3 linked regions of the Notamacropus eugenii genome follow. The protein of the gene in region 2 purifies or fractionates together with the protein of the main gene of each other region. This does not show direct contact. Links are inferred from orthologs where the notes say so. Each region holds a gene or a part of one and is shown on either strand. Other genes may lie near its edges.

Region 1 (7,369 bases), on a different chromosome or scaffold from region 2:
CTAGCTCTCTCTGCAGCATCCTCTAGAGACTATGAGCTTCACTATTCACTTGTCACTATTACCCTATGACTTCTCTTATCTTCTATCCCTATATTAATCAGTCATTTACAAAACTGTCCCCAGCTCCCTCCTCCCTTTCTCTCAATCCTAACCCTACTGAATCACCTACTCCAACCCTGCTTCCTCTTATTGTCTTCTGGAATTCCTATTCCATTGTGAACTCACTCTCTTTCATGCTGGGCGGGTCTCATATTACTTTTATTAGCCATCACTGATAGTCTCCTCTGATGACACTGTCTATCCTCTTCATCATTGGCTGTTCCTTCTCTCATACCCTTCTTCCTCTTCCTCTTCACTCAATACTGGTCCTGGAAGGGAAGTCAAAATACCCCTTGATCTCCACTGTTACTTTCAGGCTGTTTACCTATCAACTTTTCCTTCTTTGAAGCCCACTTAAATTTTCCACCCAATTAAAATTATAACTGTAATACACTAATCCCTAAATTATTCTCATGCTTTTCCCAAGAAGTTCAGCATCTTCTTCTTCCAACTCCTGCCCTTTTACTTGTATCTTCATAGGTGCTCTCTCTAACTTCCTAAATTTCCAATTCTTCAGTATTCTTAAATCACAAGACCTACTCCTTCACTCTACCTCAGCCACACAAAGGGATAGTGACATCACACACTATATAGCTCACCACTGAACCATAAGTGTTACACTTCCCTAATTAGAAATTCTGGCATTCCCCTAACCATAACCTAGTATTACATATCTCTCTATGCCTCACTTCTCCTAAATCTTTTCTCTACCCTGAAGACATTCAATCCTTCCACTTCTCAATACCTTCTCAGGTACCCCTATTCTGACTTCACTTTCTTCCCTCTCCAACCTCAAATCTATAGTTAGCCATTTCAACTCTGGTTTTGAGTCCCTTGCCTCATTCACAATCTTCTCTTGCTAAACCTCAGTCTGAGATTATGTCCACTATCCATTTCCTTCACTCCTACTCACATGCCACTGAACAAAACTGTAGGAAGGACTGAGTATATTACAAAGTCAGTGTTATCCAGCCTCAACTAGACCCCTCACTATAGCAAGGAAGTCCTTTTATTCCTCCCTGATTCTTTTATTTCACTTCCCACAGAAACTATTCCAAACCTTCTCTTCCCTCAACCCCTCCCCGCCCAAAACATCCCTCCTTCTTAGGTGATGACTTTGCCTCTTTACTAAAAAAAACTGAAGCCATATGATGTGAGCTTGCTTATCATTTCATCTCAAAACATAACCACAACACTGTCTTCCTTTCCCCTAGTCTCTAACAAAAGAGATGGCCCTTGTCCTTGTCAAGGACAAGCTCTCCATATGTGCTTTTGATCCTATTCTTGTTTTCTCCAACAAAATGCATCCTTATTTATCCCCACCTCTCAAATCATCAATCTCTCTCTATAAATCTCCTCCTCCCCTAGAATCTTAAAACATGCCCTCTTCCCTTCCTTAAAAAAACCTGTTAGGTCCCACCATACCTTTAAGTCTTTGTCTTTTTATCTCTTCTAAGTCAAACTCCTGGAAAAAATGGTCTATATTAACCGTCTTCACTTCCCCTCTCTCATTCTTCAATCCTTTGCAATTTAGTTTCTTACCTTAATACTCAACTGAAACTGCTTTCTCCAAAGTTACCAAAATGATCTCTTGACAAATCAGATGCTTCCCAGTTCTTGTCCTTCTTAAACTATCCATTGCATGACACTATAGACAACTTGATCCTCCTGTTTTCATGACATGTCTCCTGATTTTTGTCTTCAACGATTCCCTCTTAATTATTCATTTCACATCCCCTAACTATAGGTGCTCAAGAGTGTATCCTAGGCTCTCATCTATTCCATTGTGAATTCACTCCCTTTCACGCTGGACCTGTCTCTTATTACTTTTATTGGCTATCAGTTCACATTGGCTTAACTATCACCACTATGCAGATGACTTACATATCTATATATCAGGCCCCAGCCTCTCTCAAACTTCAGTCTCCTAACACTATTGGATATTTCAAAATGGCCATATCAAGACATCTTAAAACTTAACATGTCCGAATCTGAACTCATTCCCTCTCCTTCCTTCCAAATCTCCGTTTCTGTTGACACCACCATTCTTCCAGGTTCATAACTTTTAAACACAGCTCAGACACTATCTTCTTTATGAAGCCTTTCTTTATGCCAACTGCTTCTGCCTTCCCTTCCAAACTATCCTGTATTTAACTGTATATATTTATGCTGTAAATTTTTACATGTACTATTCCCCTCTCCTCATTAAAAGGAAAATTCCTTATAAGTACATGCTTCATTCTTTGTACTTTTATTCCCAGGGTCTAGCACAGTGCTTGGCACAAGGAAGTTGCTTAACATTTAATTCACTGTTATTAGGCATTTTTATGTTAGTTATGAAGTTTTAAGAAATTAACAGTAACTAAAATAATAATCATTTTATTATCACTATATAACAATATAATAACAATAACTAAAATAACAATAACAAAAATGAGTATTTTTCTTTTGTTTTCAACATTTATGGAACCATTATAAAGGCTAAAGGAGAATGGCATCAGGTTTTTATGCAAATTTTATGACTAAGCAGCCTATTTACCTGTAATCTAGATGTTCATCTAAATGTTTTTGTACATTCAGGCCCCTGCAGGCAAGAACTTATTTTTTGAACTCCTAACAATATTTCCTTTAAATTTCGAGTTTTCTGGCTTTTAAACTTCCCATCACAGAGCAGCACATGCTATTTTGCAACTCTCATTGGAAACGTAGGATGATACAACTCAACACGTCTAAGCACCGCCTAAAATTGGACTACTGGTTTCTGAATTATTACACAGATATTTGGTGAGATTCCTTGTTTTTACACAAACTCCAGCAAAGGATGATTTGGATGGTTTTATTACCTAATGCATGTTTTCAGCTTCTAAACATTTGGATGACCCGTAGTTTTGAGCAGTCAACTACTTCTGGACAGTGGCCAAATTGAACATGGGCCCCCAACTTTCCATCTGCTTAAATGTTTTTAATTCTTCCATGTTTTCTTTGGAAAATTCACACCTTTTTTCTCTTATAGATAAGGGGGTGGAAAAATCAGATGACTCCCGATCATCATGCAGTAGTTTTTCTCACATGATGTATTAGCCAAGGGGGAACTCCCTCCCCCCCAACATTCTTTAAAGTCATCAGCTGCTCCATCTAGCCAACTGGTTGTCTGAACCACTTAGTTCCACTACCCCACCCCCCAGCCCCACTCCCCGATCACCCGGCTACAAACAGGGGCAGACAGATCCCCCTGAGATGCCTGTCATCCCCTCTGCAGGTGCTGCGGACTCTGACCCACGGGCTTCCAACTTGGCAGGAAGAGGCTTCGGGTTCAAAGCCTCAAGAGCATCAGCTCCACCCAAGCAAGATAAGCGAGACGGAGGCCTGCGTCAGGAAGCATGGGGTGGGGGGCGGTACAGCCAGGGGGAAACCAACACTTCGGGCTCTTCTCCTGTTACCTTAGCCCCGGAAAGGAGGGAGGGGGGTGTTTGCAGATAACATCTTCTGACACCTCCGAGACTTACTGGGTTTTCACCCTCGGAACTTAGACTGCGAGGGAGTCGCAAGTGACAAGAAAACACCCCGTTTCCCGGCAGGGCGAGGGCGGGGTGGGGACAAGGGTGTCCCCGCTTCTCCCTCGTTAGCGAGGGCGGCTCCGCGCCCCTGTGTTGGACGGTCTGCGTCTTCACACGTAGCTTCCAGCCGCCCCCCTTAGCCTCTCCCGGGCTCCGCCGCCCTTAACGGCGGCTAACGTTCCCAGTTACCGCGGGCTGCTCCCCTCCCTCTGCACACCCCGGCCCGGCCCATGGCAGCCGGCAGCCGGCCTCGGGCCACCCAGCTCCTTGGGTCGGCCAGCGGCCCGACTCCGGGTGTCCCTCGCCCCGGCCCCTCACGCCTTGTTCCTCCTTCCTCGCACTCCCCAAAGAAGCAGCACCCGGGGACTCCGGCGTCCCCGGCCTGAAAGCAAAGCAGCAAGCTCGCGAAGGCAAGTCGGCGACCGACCCTCGAAAGCGCGAGAGTGAAGGAAAGCCGAGCCCCGGAGGACCAGACGAGGGACGAACGTTAGCGGGCACGTGACCGGGGGAGGAGACGGAAGCTCAACCAATGACAAAGCGCCGTGCCTGGCAGTGGGACGGTGCAGGGGCCTAAGTGGGGCGGGGTCCGGAACCCGGGCAAAGCGGAACGGGGCGGGGAAAGAGAATGGGGGCGGGGTTACGAGAGGGGGAGAGGAAGGGGGAGGGGGGCGGTCAGGGCTGGGGGGGAGGGGCGAAGAGACGCCGCCGCCGCCGCCGCGGCTGCTGCAGCCTCTGGGAGCCTGGAAAAGGGGAAGCGAGGGCGAGGGAGGGACTCAGTCCCCGGCAAGGCGGCGGCGGGGGTGGCGGCTGAGAAGGCGGCGGGAGGGCAGAGGGAGGCAGCGTCAGGGGCGCTGCTGCTGCTGCTCCTGCCGGTGCTGCTGCTGGAGGCGGCGGTGGCGGTGGAGGAGGAGGAGGAGGAGGAGGAGGAGGAGGAGGAGGAGGCGGCGGCGGCGGCGGCGGCGGCGGCGGCGGCGGCGCAGGAGGAGGCGGCAGGGGCGGGCGGCCCGCACCAGCCATGCCGAATAAAAACAAGAAGGAGAAAGTGAGTCCGGGGCCCCGGCCCGCCCGCCGAGCCAGCCGAGGGGACGGGGACTGGGGGCCGGGCCTGGAGGCGGGAGGGGAGAAAACGAAACTGCCCCTTTGGGGACGGGGCCTAGTGTGGGGGCCCGGGCGCCGCCCCCCTGAGACGAGAACTCGCCGACAACTTCTGCTCCTGGCTGGGGGCCCGCCTGCGCCGCCCCCGCTGGCCGGGACCCCAGCCCCGAGCAGTGACAACTGATGCTTCGGAGTTAGTCACCCAGGAAGCAAAGCAGGCGCGGAAGCGCCCGGGGTGCCCAGGCCTTGGACGGGGCAGCGGGAGCCCTCCCTGCCGGCGGCCTAACCCTAGGTCCACCCTCTGCTCCACACCCCCCCCCCCCCCCCCTCACCCCCAGGAGTTGGTAAACCTCCAGCAAGTAGGAGAAGGGGCACCTTTCCCCACCCGCCCACGCCCGGGCGGCTGGTGGCGCCCACCCCTCGCCCCTCCGCCCCCCTCCAGGCCCCTGGGGATCCGTGACAGCAGCCCGAGATTGTCCTGGGAGGCAAGGCGGGCGGGATGCCCTGGGAAACGGCATCTGGCGTCCACAGTCGGTGCCTCCCCCGCCCCAGAACCTCTTTCCCGCGGCAGCAGCAGCGACGGGGGTGGTGGGGGGCGATACCGGTTGCAGCGATGCTTTGGAGAAGAGGGTGAAGCAACAGCCGCAGCCGTCGGGGGCCTGGGACTGGGGGTGTCTTGCGAACTCTGGGGAGAGGCTTTGGGAAATCACCCCTGGACACCAAACTTCTCTGCTCACCGTAGTTGTCTAGGGGATTCCTCCTGATCGGGAGGAATTCTGTGTCCCTTCCCAAAGAGACTTTCTAGTGCCATAAAATAGTATTATTATCCTGCATTGTGATGATGTGGATGTGTGATAATATGTATTTCTGCTGCGTTGGCTTTTTTTGTTTTGGTTTCAGGTGGCGCTGTATAGCATTTTAGTGTCACCTTAGAAACCACCATCATAGGAGTTTAGGAAAAGGGAAAAGGAAGGGAGCTTTTTTTTTTAAACACATACAACACCATAAATAATTGCATATATCTGTTTGTTTTGTAGCCTTGGTAACAAAAACTAAAAAGTAAATAAATGTCTTGTCTGTTACATCTCTAAAAAGCAATATATTTTAGAACTTTCTAACAATATTAAAATGAGATGTAATTGCATAGGTTCTTAAGAGTTTTAAAACGTTTGAAGGTTTTGCAAACTCAAAAATATAAAACTTAATCTGCTTGATGTTTTCTCAGGAACCAGCAAAATCGGGAAAAAGTGGAAAAAGTACAAAAGAAGGACAAGATGCTGTAGAACAAGAGGTAATTATAATTAACTATTGTGTTTGGACTAGTCACATTTTTGGTTTTAGCAGTTAGAAAAATCAAGAGTGGTAGAACCCAGAATACTTGGCATTTTCCCCCATATGAAGGAACTTTTGGCTTCTGTCATCCCTTCCTCTTATTTATTTAGGAGATATGTGGAGAAATGGAAATTTGAAAATTCAGATTTGGAAAAATGAGGAATGGGGATGTTTAAAAGCAAAGCTCAACAACGTAGTTGTGTAATCCCAAAGGCCTCTTCTCCCTCTTCCTCCTAACAGACCTGATATTGTTTCTGTCAGTCAGGGAGGCATGTTTCTCTGACACATGTTCTACTTATTCCTTTTAGCTGCTGGTTCTTCTTTTCTACTGCTGGACCAGTTTCCTTCTAATCTGCCAGGAGGCTTTATCAACTGTTAATTCTTCACCCTCTCACTCCTCCTCCTACCACCCACCTCTCAATCTCTACACACTCTTCAGTTACATACTCAACTCCCCTTCCCCCGCCTTCAGCTGATTGGGAGTGTACCTGTGCTAAACCCTTCTTTCTTATCATGTTGGTTAATTGATTTCTTATCCTTTCCTATTTAGGCTGAGGCCTCCCCACCTCCATGAAAAAGTCTCTTGCTGTTTTTTAAAATAATTTTTAGCCTTTTGTTATGTTCTCCTATCAGTGTTCTATTTTAGTGTTAGTTCTCACTTTTTTGTCCCCTTGTGCATATTACTTTTGCTGATTCGTGACAGAGTAAATTCCAAATTGTACTTGTATTTGGCAACAGCCTATTTTTTAAGCCATGTTCCTTATTTACTGATGATGTCATCAACTGACAGTCTGGACAGTTGCTTTGAGTCATTTTAACTTGTGGATTTCCACAATCACTACTTTGTTTTGTCCATTGGGTCTCTGGACTGAGTGAAGATGACCTACTGATTGGACTTGGGAACCTAAATCATACTATCTAAAAGAGCAGCTAATAGGCACATTGAATTAGGCTCCTTATAAAAGAAACAGTCTAATTTAGTCTGCTGGTTCTGAGAGCTGACTCCATAACGTACTTAGTCTGATCACTTTGACATTTATTTCCATTCCCATAGAATTAATGAAATTCCACTTAGGAATTATACTTGTTTTTTTTGAAAGCCATGTAAGAAACTTTAATAGGTTCCATTGAAGCTAATTTTTTAGATATAAAACATCTTCTTAATTATATATGTATGTGTGTATTATATGTGTGTGTATACATACTTACATATGTGTGTGTATGTGTGTAGGTACTTAACTCATGGCAGATTTTAAATTTCCATTTTCTTTCCATTACCGCTCATC
Region 2 (7,517 bases):
AGGAAGATGATGTCTGGCCCTGTCCCAGCTGAAGAAAGTCTGTGGAAACGAACTAGAAGTTCAGAGCAAGCAGGTCTCAAAGGAATATCAATTCTGTTAAATTAGAGATGTCAGACCACTCTGTCCAAGACGTCCATCCCAAGGTAGTAATGGCTAGTGACAGGGAGAATGAAGATCCTACGATGGACAGGCCACCTCTAGGTACACCCACAGGTCATCATCCTAAACAATCCAGGCCAAATCAGGGCTACCTGGCTACACCCCTGCTCAGGGTAGCCTCACTGCTGCCAGTGCTGGCCTGAAGGACAGACTGACTTTCATTCTGGCACCCTCCTGAGAGCTAGTATTGCTGCCACTACTGGCACAGTCCCAGGCAAGCCACGGGAGCGGAGAGCTTCTTGGATTATCCTCCTCTGGGTGGCTGCACTGTTCCTGGTATAAGACAGAGCCCGCTTGCGGCTGGCATCAAGGAAGAGGATTAGAGGGTTATTAGAGAAGCCAAAGTCACACAATCTGCCTAAAAAGTTCAACAAACATTCTGTCCACTGACGGCCACCCCAGCATCCATCAGCAGTGGGAGAAAGGTCTCAGAGCTGCTTGTCTCAGCTGACCATGTACGTTTAAGGGTAAGAGAACTGGTTAAAAACCCCTCCCAACATTGAACCTCACTGACGTGAAGGACAGCACACAAAGCCGGAGTCAGCCTCAGGCCTCAGTACCAGTCAGGCTACAGGGAGCCCTCAGCATGGCTCACAGGCTAGGCTGACACTACTGACATGGAACTGAAAGGGGAAAACGTGAAGAAGCGGCGTGGAGGGGGCAGGGAGGGGAGGTCGGACTGAGCCAGGGGGTGCTCCTCACTGACTCCGGACCCAGGAAAGGTCCCTGAGTCACCACCAGCCCAGACGGGAACCCAGACCTTCCGTTCCTTCGGTGCCTGGGAGTGCCACTGGCCAGGTGACCCACGGGTCTGAGACCAGGCCACCCATGGGTCTGAGACCTAAGGCCAGGCCACGCACGGGTCTGAGACCAGGCCAGGCCACGCACGGGTCTGAGACCTAAGACCAGGCCAGGCCACCCATGGGTCTGAGACCTAAGACCAGGCCACGCACGGGTCTGAGACCTAAGACCAGGCCAGGCCACCCATGGGTCTGAGACCTAAGACCAGGCCACGCACGGGTCTGAGACCAGGCCAGGCCACGCACGGGTCTGAGACCAGGCCAGGCCACGCACGGGTCTGAGACCTAAGACCAGGCCACGCACGGGTCTGAGACCAGGCCAGGCCATGCACGGGTCTGAGACCTAAGACCAGGCCAGGCCACGCACGGGTCTGAGACCAGGCCACGCACGGGTCTGAGACCTAAGACCAGACCAGGCCATGCACGGGTCTGAGACCTAAGACCAGGCCACCCACGGGTCTGAGACCAGGCCACCCATGGGTCTGAGACCAGGCCACGCATGGGTCTGAGACCTAAGGCCAGGCCACCCATGGGTCTGAGACCAGGCCAGGCCATGCACGGGTCTGAGACCTAAGACCAGGCCAGGCCACCCACGGGTCTGAGACCTAAGACCAGGCCAGGCCACGCACGGGTCTGAGACCTAAGACCAGGCCAGGCCACCCACGGGTCTGAGACCTAAGACCAGGCCAGGCCACGCACGGGTCTGAGACCTAAGACCAGGCCAGGCCACCCACGGGTCTGAGACCTAAGACCAGGCCAGGCCACCCACGGATCTGAGACCTAAGACCAGGCCACGCACGGGGCTAAGACCTAAGACCAGGCCAGGCCACGCACGGGGCTGACAGCACACGCACTCCTCGCCCCAAAGCCGCCCCGCCCTCACCTGGGCTCCGGGCACTCTAGGTCACAGGCCTCCTCCCCACAGACCCCGGCGCTCATCCGGGCGCAGGGGACCCTTCCTCAAGCAGCTCTCGGACCCGTGCCCAGGCTGCTCCAAACCTCCAGCGGCTCCGCGAGATCACTCATTCACTCAGCAAACACTGAGGCCCCAGTGGCCAGTCTGGGGGAGACGGCGGGCACCGAGGGTCCACAACTGACCCGGAGGGGGCGGGGAGGCCGGTTTGGGGGTCACACTGGACACCGCCGAGAAGCCAGAGCGGTCCGGGCCAGGAGCCACTCTGCGAGGCAGAGGGACGCTGCGGGGATCCGGGAAGGCTGCCGTGACGTGGACGGAGACCGCACATAAACAACTCGCTGGGGCCAAGCAACGCCAAGGAGGGCATCCCCACACGGGGAGGGGGGAGAGAAGGCCCCGAGAGAACGGCGCCGCCCCGCCCCTCCCCCTCCCCCTCCTCCTTCGGGCGGCCCCTCCCCCTCCCCCCTCTCCCGGCCTCCCCTCCCCCTCCCCCTCCCCCTCCGGGCCGCCCCTCCCCCTCCCCCTCCCCCTCCTCCTCCGGGCCGCCCCTCCCCCCTCTCCCGGCCTCCCCTCCCCCTCCCCCTCCCCCTCCGGGCCTCCCCTCCCCCTCCCCCTCCCCCTCCGGGCCGCCCCTCCCCCTCCCCCTCCTCCTCCGGGCCGCCCCTCCCCCTCCCCCTCCTCCTCCGGGCCGCCCCTCCCCCTCCCCCTCCTCCTCCGGGCCGCCCCTCCCCCTTCCCCTCCGGGCCTCCCCTCCCCCTCCCCCTCCCCCTCCGGCCGCCCCTCCCCCTCCCCCTTCCCCTCCGGGCCGCCCCTCCCCCTCCCCCTCCTCCTCCGGGCCGCCCCTCCCCCTCCCCCTCCTCCTCCGGGCCGCCCCTCCCCCTCCGCCTCCGGGCCGCCCCTCCCCCTCCCCCTCCTCGTTCGGGCCGCCCCTCCCCCGCCCGGCCGCACCTTCTCACAGAGCGTGCGCACTTGGTTCTCGTTCAGCTGCTTGCACTCGTTCAGCTGCTCCACCCACTGGTCCAGCTCCTTCGTGAACACCTTGTCCTCCATGATGGCGGCAGCGGCGGCGGCGGCAGCGGCGGCGGCGGCTGCGGCGGCGGCGGCCAAGGGGGCTCGTGCTGGACCCCGCCGGGCCCGGGCCCTGGCCCCGCCCCCGCCCCGCCCCGGCGCCGGTCCCGCCCGCCGTCGAGCCCCGCCACGCCACGCGAGCCCCGCCCCCGCCCCGCCCTTAGGGGGGGCGCGAGCCGGGACGGCGCGGGCGCGCAGGCGTGCCCGGGCGAGAGACGCGGCGACGGGGCCGCGCACGGAGGCGCGGGGGCGTGCCCGCCGGCCACCAACCCCTCCTGCGCGCGCGCGCCGCCCCGCCCCCTCCGCGGCGCGCACAGCCGCTCCCAGGGCCCACGGGCGGGGCCGAGCTGGGGGCGGGGCCGAGCTGGGGGCGGGGCCGAGCTGGAGGCGGGGCGCCACTGACCGGCCCGCCTGCCTGCCTGCCTGCCTGCCTCCCTACGGCCCGCCCGGGCCGACTCCGCCCTCTCCCGCAGCCCTCCTCACGCTCCCTGCCCGTCGGGGCCCGTCACCGCGGGGCACTTCCGCCGGAAGGAGACGAGGGAGGGGGCCGCACGCGAGCGGCGGGAGGGGGAAGGCAGGCGGAGGGAGCACGAGCCGGTACCGCTGGCCACAGCACCACCACGCGGCCGGGAGGAGGAGGAGGAGGAGCGGGAGGAGGCGGTGACGGCGCGGCGCGGCGCTGACCCCCTGCGTCACTGCGTGACTTGCGCCGCGGCGCCGCCCCTTGACGTCAGTCACTCCAAGGCCCTCTCCCACCCTGCGCGTCCCGCTCCGAGCGCGGGACCCCGCTCCTCGGGTCTGGGCCTGCGCAGGAGGGGCGGGCCGATCGGCGTGGTTCGGGTTCTCCGGGCCCGCCCCCCGCTCTGTCTCTCCCCCAATAGCCGCGGTCACTGCCGCCTGCCGCCAGGGGCGCTCTCCGGAGCTGTCCGAGGTAGCCGCAGATGCTCCGGGAGGTCGGCCCGGGTGCCACGCCCCCCTGCCCCGGACTGCGCTTCTCCCGATGCCCCGGCTTGGGGCCCGGCCTTGGACAGAGAAGCGGAAAGGCGAAGGCTCCGGAGGCAGGGCGCGGACTCCGTGTCCGAGCCCTCCGCTTTGTTCGGTTTGCTGTAGAGATGGGCACGGAAAGCTGGCGTTCGTGTGCCCGTTCTCGCAGCCTGGCGCTTCCGCTAGGTCTCGGGAGCGGAGAGGCGCGTCTGGTCCGTGGGTCCGTGGGAGGAAACACGCGGCGGCACATCCCGCCCGAGAGCGGCTCCTCCGACCCAGAGCGCGTGTAGACGTTTAACACGCCGAGGGTTTCTGCCCTCGCTGCAGGATTGGAGCCGGCGTCACGGTGAAGCGCCCACAAGGCAGCTCTCCGGGGGCGCAGTAGGGGCGAGACCAGGCTCGCGTGGGCACACGGACGCCCTGGGAGCTGTCGGGGAGCTGTTTAAAAAGTAACAGCGCATTGTAACTTTGTATCACGCTGTGAGGTCTGCAGATGATACTAAGCAGCCTCTGTCACCCTGGAGGCAGGCGCTGTCAGCCTCATTTTACAGATGAGGAAACTGAGGCAGGAAGATTAAGTGGGTTTTTTCTAGGCTATATTTAAACCGACTTTTCCTGACTCCAAGATCTAGCTGCCTCTAAGTCTTACCAACTGAGAGAAAAGGCAGCATCTAGAGTCCCTAGACTGACTTTTGCTTCGATAAACGGTCACTACCCAGCTCTCCCGAGGTCTTCTGCGTAAGCAGACTTGGTTACGGAAGTCCAGCCATGGACTACTTCTCCGGGAAGTGGCTTTCATTTCGACTTATCATGTCCCTAGGTCAGAAGGATTTGAGAAGCAGCGGCTAGATAGTCCTAGCCCAAGAACCCTCCAGGAGACTGGAGGAAGCATTGCCCAAAGACCTTCAAGGGGTCCCTGTGACCCAGCCTCCGCAGTCCCCGACCCTGCCAGCCCCTCCCTCCAGTCCCTGCTGACCACAAAGAAGGAAGAGATAGGGGAGCTAGAGCAGATCCAAGGTGCCACCCATGAGCCTTTGCAGTGATGGTTGGTCCTTGGGTTCATCTGAGGTTTTCCAAGTGGTTTGATGTCATTGTCTGCATTTTTCTCCTGGTTCTACGGATTTCCCTATGCATCGGTTCATTTAAGACCAAAGGACTTCCCATGTGTCTGGAACTGTCTTCATAACTTCTTAGGTAAAGAGGCATTCCATTATATTTATACAGCATAACTTGTCTGCTGTTCCCCAACAGATAGATATTCACTTCTTTGCCATCGCAAGAAGAGGTGCTATATACAAACTGTTAGTACCTAGGGGTCCTTTTCCTCTTTCCTTGATGTCTTTCTGGGTTTACAGAGGGCAGCAGGCACAGTTTAGTAGCTTTGGGGCCATAATTCCAAATGGTTTTCCAAAATGACTTGCTCATGTCACAGCTCCAACATGCATCAATGTACCTGTTTTCTCACAGCCCCTCCAGCATTTATTTTCCTTTATTTGTTACTTTGTCAGTCTGGAAGGTAAGAGGTAGAACCTTAGAGTTGTTTTAATTTATATTTCTCCAGTTATTCATGATTTAGAGCCTTCTTTCACATGGCTATAAATAGCTTGGATTTTTTTTTCTGAAAACTGCCTAGGCTTTCTTTCTAGACTGATCACCCATTATTCCCCCATACGAACTCTGCTCAAGCCAAATCGTGTTGCTTGCTGTTTCCCCTACACGCCAACCAATGCCTTCCCTCCATATCTTTGCACAAGACGTTCTATGCACATCAAGAAATCTGACACTTCCCACAATTCTGAGTCAATTTCAAAGCTCATCTCAGGGGCTACCTCCCATAGGAGTCCTTCCTTGTACTTCTGGGAAGAGATGCCAGTGCTCTCACCCCAATGTTACTTTTCATTGTACATATGTGCATATACACACATAGGTGTACATATCTATCTAATCTTACCTGTGTACTGTCTAAGCTTTCCCCTGTAGAATGTAAGTTTCTTTATGGCAGAGACCATTGCATTTTTATCTTCAAATCTCTAGTCTGGGACAACTCCTGACACACTGTTGTTGTTCAGTCGTGTTGGATTCTTCCTCACTCCGAGGACCCTAGTACACCAATGCTGTCCATGAGGATTTCTTGTCAAACTGACACACAGTAGGTGCTTCAAAAAATATTTGAGTTGAAATGAATTAAACGGATTAGAAGGCATGAGACTGGCCACTACTTCTCTTAAGGATCTAAGAGTAACCCCAAGGGGCTATCCTTCTAACAGTGCCACTCACGAGCCCCTGGTGGGGTGCTTCCTTTTAACAATTGGCCAACAGACTTAATTAGCTTTTAGAAAATGTATTTACTCAGAGTTTAGTAAGAAAGGCTGGCAAAATATAGTCCCCACCTCCAAAAACCTGGGGTACCCTCTCCCACAAATACATACAAGGCCATAAGAAGGATGGACTCAAACTTAGACTACAAGGGTAGTCACAATTAATTCATCCTTCTTGTGCTCTGTGGCCCCAAAGTCCTTTCTTAAGTTCACAGCCAGCCTCTTCGGTCTTTCCACATCCATCTGTCCTTCCTTCTTTGGGAAGTGTTGTTTCCTACTGATTTCAGGTCATCTCTTCAATCTCAGCTAGAGATAGTTGATGTTATTGGTCCAATCTTTCTGATGACATGGTCAATTGGAAGAGACAAGAGAGAAACTTTGCCCCCTCCCCCCTTTCCAATAGCAATTCCCTTTCAGTTGGACTTAGCTCCAACTCTCAAGATGGAATTCTTAGTTCCTGAACTTAGAGCCTACCACTGCTAGCTTGGTCCCCCAATAGAAAGACCACTGTTTTTATACATAGGCTGACAGGTATGTGTGATTCTTTTGGCCAATCAAAGCAGGGAGTGAGCTGCCTTCATCCATGACCAAATCTGCATAATGCTCCAAAATGACTTATTCACAACCTATGGTGGAGGTATAGAGGCAGCAGAGTACAGGGGACAGAAAGCTGTCTTCAAAGCTAGGAAGCCCCAAGTTCCAATCTAGCCTCTGATACATATTACCCACGTGACCCTGGAAGCCACTTTGTTTGCACAGAGGATCAAATGAGGTCATGAATGTTCAGCTCTTTGCAAGTAATACATAAATCTTATTATTATTTAACAAATAAAGGTGGTTAAATGTGATGCACTAGGGAGGGAGGGCCCTGGCATTCGCAGGTCTTTATTTAGAAAAGCTTCATACAGATCACACTGGAGCTGCATTTTAAAGAAGAGTTAGTCGTTGAGGGAAAGATGAGGAAGTAAAATCCTAAATATGAGGGACATCCAAACGCAGGTGGTGACTCAGCTGTGGGGTGAAGGAGTGAGGAGTCAAGGCTGATTCGAAGCTATGAGCCTGGGCTGTTGCAGGAAGCAGTAAAGTTCAGAAAATGGGTAGATTTGGGCGGGAAAGAGCCTCTGGCTGCTACTCTTTCCAAACTGAAAGTTACCTTGATTTACTTGGGTCTATAGGCCATCTATCCCTCCAGCAGAGGCCAGGGCTGTCCATGCTGTCTTGGTCTCCCAATGCCTGGCATGTGGGAGGCATTAATAAAGGTCTGGTCTACTG
Region 3 (7,782 bases), on a different chromosome or scaffold from region 2:
AAAGATGATGTACATTACTCTGGTATTAGTGTATTATTCAGTTGATTATGAGGCCATAATGTTACCTGCAACATAAAATGAAGGGTCAGATTACAGTTGCTAGCATGTACAAAGTAACAAATATGCAAGGACGCCCAGGTTTAACAAGGACAGGATGTAACTGCAGGCAGGAAATGTCAATGCACAGGTATAAGACAGAAAGAGAATAAAAGTACTGAACACAATAATTTTTCAAGGATTGAATTAAAATTTATTAAGCACCTATTCCGTTCAAGGCAGTGTTCTAGGCTTAGGGATACAAAGAGAAACATGGAAATATTCCTACTTTCTAGGAGCTTACCTTCTATTCCTCCACTAACCTTCATAATAAAATAACTTTATGAATTCTATGAAAGATTCTTAAAAGGATTCCTTTCAATTAATGGTAATCTTCATAGTTTTGATTTCACTAGGGCTAGTCTCTTGAAAAGTTTTTCACAAAAATAAATTTGATGACATATATAATCAAGAAAAACTAAAACTGGTTTCCTATCTACCCCATATTTAAAAATATTTGACCCTGATTATCTCTCTCTCTTAAATTACTAAATCAGTAGGCTAAGCAGGTACTGAGTTACTAAACCAGCTCTGTATACAATTCCATAACCTAACACATTTACAGTTATAACCATTAATTTGAAAGCCATTAGCGTTAAATTCCATTTGGAGTGAACAGTGGGAAGAAGACTGGATTTGGAATTTGAATTGTGACTCTCCTAGTGTGACTTTGGGTAAGTCACTCCACCTATCTGGGATTAATTTTACTTCCCTACTGTAAAAAGAGAGGGGGGTTAGAAGACTTCTAAGTTGCACTCAAGTTAATGTAATAACTCACTGATACCCTGAACTGGCTTTTGTTGCTTTACAAAATGTTTCATTTAAGCATATTGCTCCCTCTCAATTTCATCTATAAAATAAAGGGTTTAGATTAGATGATCTCTTTGTAAGGTTCCTTCCAGCTCTGCTGTTCTGATGATTGATTGCTAGATGACCTGAAAGAGCAAACAAAATTATTTGGAAATAAAACTGAATAAAGTGATATAAGAAATTCAGGTATTAAGATATGCTTTCACTTTGTGATCTTATCGGCTCCCATCAATTCAATTATCTCTTACAGATTATTCTCAGATCTATATATCTTGCCTCCATCTCTCCCTGTTCAGCTCTAGTCTAAATCCAACTGCCTACTGAGCATTTGTTCTCAAACCCAGCATGTCTAAAACAGAATTCCTTATCTTTCCCTCAACCTTACCCCTCTTTCAATCTTCTCTATTATTATAAAGGGCACCATTCTCCCTGTCAATCAGGTTCACAACCTCAGTATCATCTTCCACTCCTTCTCCCTCATCAAGTATTCAGTGTATTATCAAATCTTTTAATTTCTTTCCCCCTACTAATATAGCCACCATACTAGAATGCCCCTCTTGCCTGGACCATGGCAATAGCATTGGTTCTACTTTCAGCTTCCTTTCTCTCCATGGATGCCAAAATGGTTTTCTTACAAGTTTGATCACCCTTTCAAAAAACTCCGATGGCACCCTCTTACCTCTAGGATCAAATATAAATTCCTAGTTGGCATTTATATCCCTAGATATTCCAGGCCCTTCCTATCTTCCCATTATCTTACATATCACTCCTTTCCATGCATTCTATAGTCCAAATGTACTGGTCTACTTGCTCCATCACTTGTCTCCATGTCTGACATCACATGTCTTTTCCCATGTCTGAAATGTTCTCTCTGCTTATCTCTTCCTCTTAGAATCCCTGGGTTTTCTTTAGGACTCAGCTGAAATACCTGAATCCACCTAATTATACTAACATCTAGCCCACATCCCTCCATTTTGTCCCAGAATTTGCCAGATGCCTTGTACAAATTTTGCTTCAGCCTCTATATTAGTAAAAAGCTTTTGCTGTTTCTGTTCATAATAAGCATCAGTATTCTAGACACCAATTCTCACAAGACTACCATCTTTGGATTTGTCATCCATTACTTGCCCTTAAGCAATAAGGAATATGAAGTGGTATGAAAACAGATGAGGACAAGGATCATTCATAACAAGCAACCATCAGGAAAAGCTTTAGTGCAGAACAGGACTTCAGCAGATATGTGGTGAATTTTAGCAAGGAATTCAAAACATAGGGAAAAGCAAAGAAGGGCATGGATTTGTGACAAGTTCTGGACGTGAGATCAAGAGTCAGTCTACAATTTATCAAGGGTTTTCTATGTGTCAGGTACTGTGCTAAGCACTGATTTTTTTTAAAAAAGGCAAAAATATGAATCCTATCCTCAAGAGGCTCATAATCTAATTGGGGAGACAACATGCCAATAATTGTGTGCAAGCAAGGTGTGTGTGTGTGTGTGTGTGTGTGTGTGTGTGTGTGTGTGTGTGTGTACTCACATACACATATACATATGTAGTAAATGCAAAGTAATCTCAGAGGGAAGAACTTGGGGAGAGGATGGAAGGGGTAAGAAGGCCACTAACAGTGGATGGGATGTGAGCTGAGTCTTGAAGAAGGCCAGGGAATCCAGGAAGGAGAAGAAAGGAGGGAGTGCTTAGCCAGTTTGGGGGAGAACCAGCGCTCAAGCAGCGGCAAGCACTAGAATAAGATTTACGAAGACTGGATAGATAGAAATAGCTTAGGTCATGGAGGGCTTTAAATACAACCAGAACATTTTTTTATTTCATCCTGTAGGCAACAGGCAGCCAACAGAGTTTATTGAGCAGGGGACATGATATAGTAAGATCTAAGTTTTAGGAAAATCACCTTGGTAACAGACTGGAGAGTGGTTTGGAATAAAGAGAAACCTGAGGCAAGGAGAGCAGCCAGAAGGCTATTACAATATACTAACAGTTAAGTTTGGAAAAGGGGAAGGTTTGAAGGGAAAGATGAGTTCTGTTTTTGGACAAACTAAGTTTGAAATGACTATGAGGTATCCAAAAGGCAGCTCGTAATGTGGAACTGGAGCCCAGGAGACAGACTGGGGTGTAAATGGAGATATGTGAAACATCTGCATACAGATGATAACCTAACCCAGGGAGTTAACGAGACTGTGAAGTGTGATTGTAGAGGGAGAAGAGGGCCCAGGGCACAGCCTTGGAAGACACCTATGATTACTGAGTGTGAGATAGAAGAAAACACAGTAGATTAGGAAAGAATGGTCACAGAACCAGGAAAGGGCAAAGAGTCGAAAGGATTCATGAGAAAATGACCAATAAGGTTAAATGCTACAGACAGGCCAAGATTGAAGGATTAAGACTGAAAAATGGTTATCAGACTTGGTAATTAAGAAACCATCGGTAACTCAGAAAAGCTGTTTCAGCTGAATGATGAGAATGCAAGCCAGACTACAGAGTGCTTTGAATAAAGTGAGAGAAGAAGAAGTGCTCCAACCCAGTGAAGATAGCTTTCTCAATAAGTTTATCTAAGAAGGGAAAGAGGAATACAGAATGGTAGGTAGCTAGGAGAGATGGCTGGATCAAGTGAGGATTTTTTTCTATAGGAAGGGGAAGACACAGGCTTGCTTCTAGGCAGCCAGGAAGGAGGCAGTTGATAAAAAAGACACTGAAGATTCGAGTAGAAGGGACCCTACAGATTATCTGAACCAATGTGGTAGCTTCAGGGTTGGAGGGTCTGGACTGAATTTTTCCTTTGGCCTCTTTTAATACCTGTGTGACCACAAACAGATCATTTCCTATGTCTGAGGCCCAATTTTCTCAGGTGTAAGATGAGAGAATTGGATTAGATGATAGTGAAGGTCTCTTTACTTCAAGAAACATTTTTTGAAATAAAATTTGATTTTTTCCAAACGATCTGCCTTTTTTTCTCTCTCACATTCTCCCATCCTCTTCTTCCCAAATTGGGAAAGCAAGAAAAACAATACTGCTTTGACAAGCATCTAACAATCAAAGCAAATTCCCAAATCCCCCATGTCCAAAAAAACCTCCACGTCTCTACCTCTGTGTCCATTGTCCATCACTGGAGAGGCTTGGGTGGAGGAGGCCCTGAGAGGGTTAAGAGAGGGTTGGCTGGAACAAATTCAAGTTTATTGGAAGGTCAACAGGAGCTGGTGAAGTTCTTTTTTGAGGAACTTGCATCTTAAGGGGGTGAATCCAGAGTTTATATAGGAAAGGGCATGGGGAAAGAATGCCAGGGGTGCTGATTAGGTAATCTAGAGGTCCAGGTGCCTTTGGGGCTACGGATGGAGAAGAATGGGGTGCTAGACCAGACACTGGGGGAATGATCAGAGACATGAGCCTTAGGGAACCACAACCATGCCAAGTAAAGGCTGGGCATGCGAAGGTAATATAGGAAAAATACTGTGACCTTCTCGAGATGAATAGGCTCATTTAAAAAATAAGAATCCATTCCGCAGCGGCTCTCACTCAGTAAACGGAGTTCAGGAAGCCATTCGCCTCTTGGATAAATTTAATTATTGAATTTCCTGGGAAGGAGTCTCTAGCGCAGCCCTTCCCAGTGTGCGCATGCCCAGACCGTCCCTCCCGCCCCGCTCCACCAGGAGAGAAATCCTTCGGCGGTTCCAGAACTCAAACAGGTCACGCTCCCTGGCTGAGAGGAGTCTCCAAAGCTACAAACATGCAGACCGTCCCTAAGGCCGCTCCACGGGATAACGTAACCGCTGCCCGCCGGCCTCGGCCTTTTATAGGGAAAGGGACGCTGCGTGATGACGTCACGGGCCGCGGCGTGCCGACGGCGGCAGCGTGAGACGGCCTGCGGCGGCCACAGCGTTCCGGAGCGGGGCTGGGGGCGCCCGTTTTGAAGCTGCCCTGGGCAGGCTTCCTGTTCGCTTCCGCTCTCTTCGGAGCCTCCTCCTCCTCCTCCCTCGACGGGCTCCTGAGGAAGCCAACCAGCCAATGCGCTCAGCCCCGCGCCCGGCTCCGTGGCCCCGCAGCTGCCCCCGAGGTGCTCGGACGCCGCTGCCTCCTCTGGAGGCCCCGGGGCCGCCCGTGCCCTCGTCTGCGCCCTCGTCCGCTCGGGCCGCGGTTCCGCCCCGCCCTCCTCCAGCGCCGGGCGTTTGACCTCGTGTTCCCCCCCCCCACTCGAAATCACCCCCCCCTCCAATGCCGGAGTCCTGGCGGTGTCTTTAAGCAGTCGAGGAAGGGCTGGGGGCCGCGGCCTGCAACAGCCCTCACTTTAGACAGCCCGGCCTCCGTCCTGGGCACCAGGAAAAGTGGGAGCGGGGGGCGGGGGTGGGGTGGGGAAGGAGGAGGAAGAGCGCCCCGGGGGCAGGAAGGACAGACCACCCCAAGAGCCGGTAACAGACACCCCAGAATGCCCGCTGGTAAAGTCCTGCAGCCAGTCCTAAAGATGAAAGTGGACGAGTTGTTCCTGTGCTGGCTGAGTGAGACCAACACGCAGGTGATGCTCAAGGACTGCCTGAAAAGGATCCGGAGCGCCGAGAGGATAGATCTCGGCGGCGGCCTGGCCGGGGACGCGCAGCCTTTCCTGGCCGCCAAGGTCGCCAGCTCCAAGCGGAACGTGCTAGATAACCTGATGGCGCCCTTGGGGACCCCGAGCCCTGGGGTGTCCAGCGCGCTGCCCCTGGGCGCCTCCGCTGGCCCCCGAAGCGGGCCGCACGGCCGAGGGACTCGTAGATCTACGGGGACCCGAGTAGTAAGTTGTCTTGTTAACCTTTCCTAATGACCACGTGCAGAGGGCCCCGTCCTCCCTTGGGCTTGATGTTCATGACTTTGAATTGCCATTGGTTGGAAGGTGGCTGGCGGGAAAGGGAAAGATGGAATGGAAATTGGCTTTTCCAACAGGATTCTAAATTTCTAAACTTCTTAATCCGAAGTTTTAATATATATATATATGAAATATATCCTCCATTTCTCAGATGAGGTGTTCATTATTTTCATGAGAATAACATGCTGGGTATGAACAGTTTGGCCAGAGGAAGGAGAGGCTTTCCTTGTCTTGATGGAAGGTTGAATATACAGTCACCATTTTTCTCTAGTGTTTTATTATTTTGTAAATATCATAGGGTGGTCTGCTGTTTTGTAATAGGTGTAGAAATAAATAATTTGTCATTTTCGAGTTATGTAAACTGTTTTTGAACTTTATCAGAACTACTATCAGAAAAAAAGAGGAAATCGTGGCATTGGAGAGTTGAAAGACATTTTAACTGTTCAAGAAAAAGTATGATTTTATAAGAAAGCACTGTTTCTACAGTATTTCTGAAGCTGCAAAATTAAGTTACAAACTGCAGCTGAGCATATATATTTCATTGTCGTAGAGTTTTATGTGAAACATTCTCCCTTCTGTATTTTCCAGCTTTCAAATCTAAGACTATAAGCTCTTTTTAAAGCTTATCTTCATGGACTTTCTAGAACTTTGGAAGAAGTTTACAAAGTACAGACGTTGTATAAGTGGTATAAGTAATGGAATTAGATATCAGATAAAAATGTCTGCTCAGCAGAAAAATGCCTGACAAGAAGGAAATGGATAGTTTTACCCTCCTTCAAAAGAAGTTGTTGTCAATCATTGGTAACCATTACACTCAGCATCTTTTCATGTAGTCATGCAGTCCAATCAGCATCCAGCTACACTGGAAATAATAATTTTGAAGGAGTATCAGAAAAAAAGAGGGAATCATGGAATTTGAGAGTTGAAAGGTTTTGTCTATCCCTTGTCCAGCCGTTTTATTTTACTGATAAGGAAACCAAGCTCCAAAGAATCAGTTACCTGCCTGAGAAAACACAACTGGGATGAGAGCCAGAAGTAGTTTCTTCAGTAGTGGCAGATTTTCTCTAAAGTAATAGATTGTGTTCTACCATTGAATTCTGATCCTCATGTGTCTCCACTTGCCTCAATGGTGTCAAGAATTTTGAAAACAAAATTTTTTTCTTTAATTTAAAAAGTAAACGTGCTTTATAGTACTTAAGTGCAGAAGGGAAAGCCATATCACATAGTGACAGTTTGTCTTAAAGTACTTGGAAATCATTGTTCTCTACTAATTATGACTCATATTTGTATAACACTTTAAGGTTTGCAAAGCACTTTTTTCCCAGTCACCCAGTATAATAACTAGTGCAAATATCCCTGTTTTACAGAGAACAGAAAACACAGAGAATTTAAGTAACTTGCCCAAAGTTACACAGTGAAGTGGCAGTCAGGGCTCAGACTTAAGTGTTATGACTTAAGGTTCAGTGTTGTTTTCGCTACACATTTCCGCCTGTGATAGAAGTGGTGTTTTAAATTCATCTGATAGTGGTTTGCAGGATGGAAGAAAGAGAAATGAACATTTAAAAACTTCTTTAGTTCAGGTGGGAGATAATTGATGACTAAACTAGTGGCTGCAGTGATGGAAAAAAAGGTAAGAAGTAGAGAAGTTATGGTATGTGAAGGGAAAATCAAAGAATGCTTCTTGAATTTTGAGTCTGGGTAACTGGGGAAATGATTACAAATAATAGGAACTAATTTTGGGGGGAGAACAAATCAGAAGATAATAGATCTAGAAAGAAGGAACATCAGAGACCATCTAGGTAAGTCCCACATTTTACAGAGTAGGAAACTGAGACCCAGGGAGGACAGGTCCTGCCAATGGTTGCATAAGTAGTATGGACTAGGTTTTAAATTGCTCCAGATTCTGTTCAGAGAGAGAGAGAGAGATGTAAAAACTTGAACTTCAAGAATATGGTAGTAAGAAATTATCGTCAGCAGACAATGTTTGTATTTTGTAAACTTCTTTCAGAGTTCTAGAAAGTCCATGAAGATAAG

What was found. Proteins that work in one complex are often made in the same cells at the same time.
Region 1: the proteins of PPP2CB (region 2) and PPP2R5C purify together in Homo sapiens (affinity purification with mass spectrometry; 3 studies listed by BioGRID and IntAct, counting the BioPlex papers as one, with this or other methods). This does not show direct contact. The link is inferred for Notamacropus eugenii from reciprocal best matches to the Homo sapiens genes PPP2CB and PPP2R5C.
Region 3: the proteins of PPP2CB (region 2) and PPP2R3B purify together in Homo sapiens (affinity purification with mass spectrometry; 3 studies listed by BioGRID and IntAct, counting the BioPlex papers as one, with this or other methods). This does not show direct contact. The link is inferred for Notamacropus eugenii from reciprocal best matches to the Homo sapiens genes PPP2CB and PPP2R3B.

The regions. Positions count from the first base shown.
Region 1 is NC_092872.1:352,312,282-352,319,650, reverse strand, and holds the start of PPP2R5C (serine/threonine-protein phosphatase 2A 56 kDa regulatory subunit gamma isoform), read left to right. Parts: upstream 1-4,354; 5' UTR 4,355-4,671; coding exon 4,672-4,698; intron 4,699-5,976; coding exon 5,977-6,042; intron 6,043-7,369.
Region 2 is NC_092878.1:167,231,355-167,238,871, reverse strand, and holds the start of PPP2CB (serine/threonine-protein phosphatase 2A catalytic subunit beta isoform), read right to left. Parts: upstream 3,011-7,517; 5' UTR 2,926-3,010; coding exon 2,824-2,925; intron 1-2,823.
Region 3 is NC_092876.1:398,822,247-398,830,028, forward strand, and holds the start of PPP2R3B (serine/threonine-protein phosphatase 2A regulatory subunit B'' subunit beta), read left to right. Parts: upstream 1-4,767; 5' UTR 4,768-5,334; coding exon 5,335-5,676; intron 5,677-7,782. UniProt on the Homo sapiens protein: The B regulatory subunit might modulate substrate selectivity and catalytic activity, and might also direct the localization of the catalytic enzyme to a particular subcellular compartment.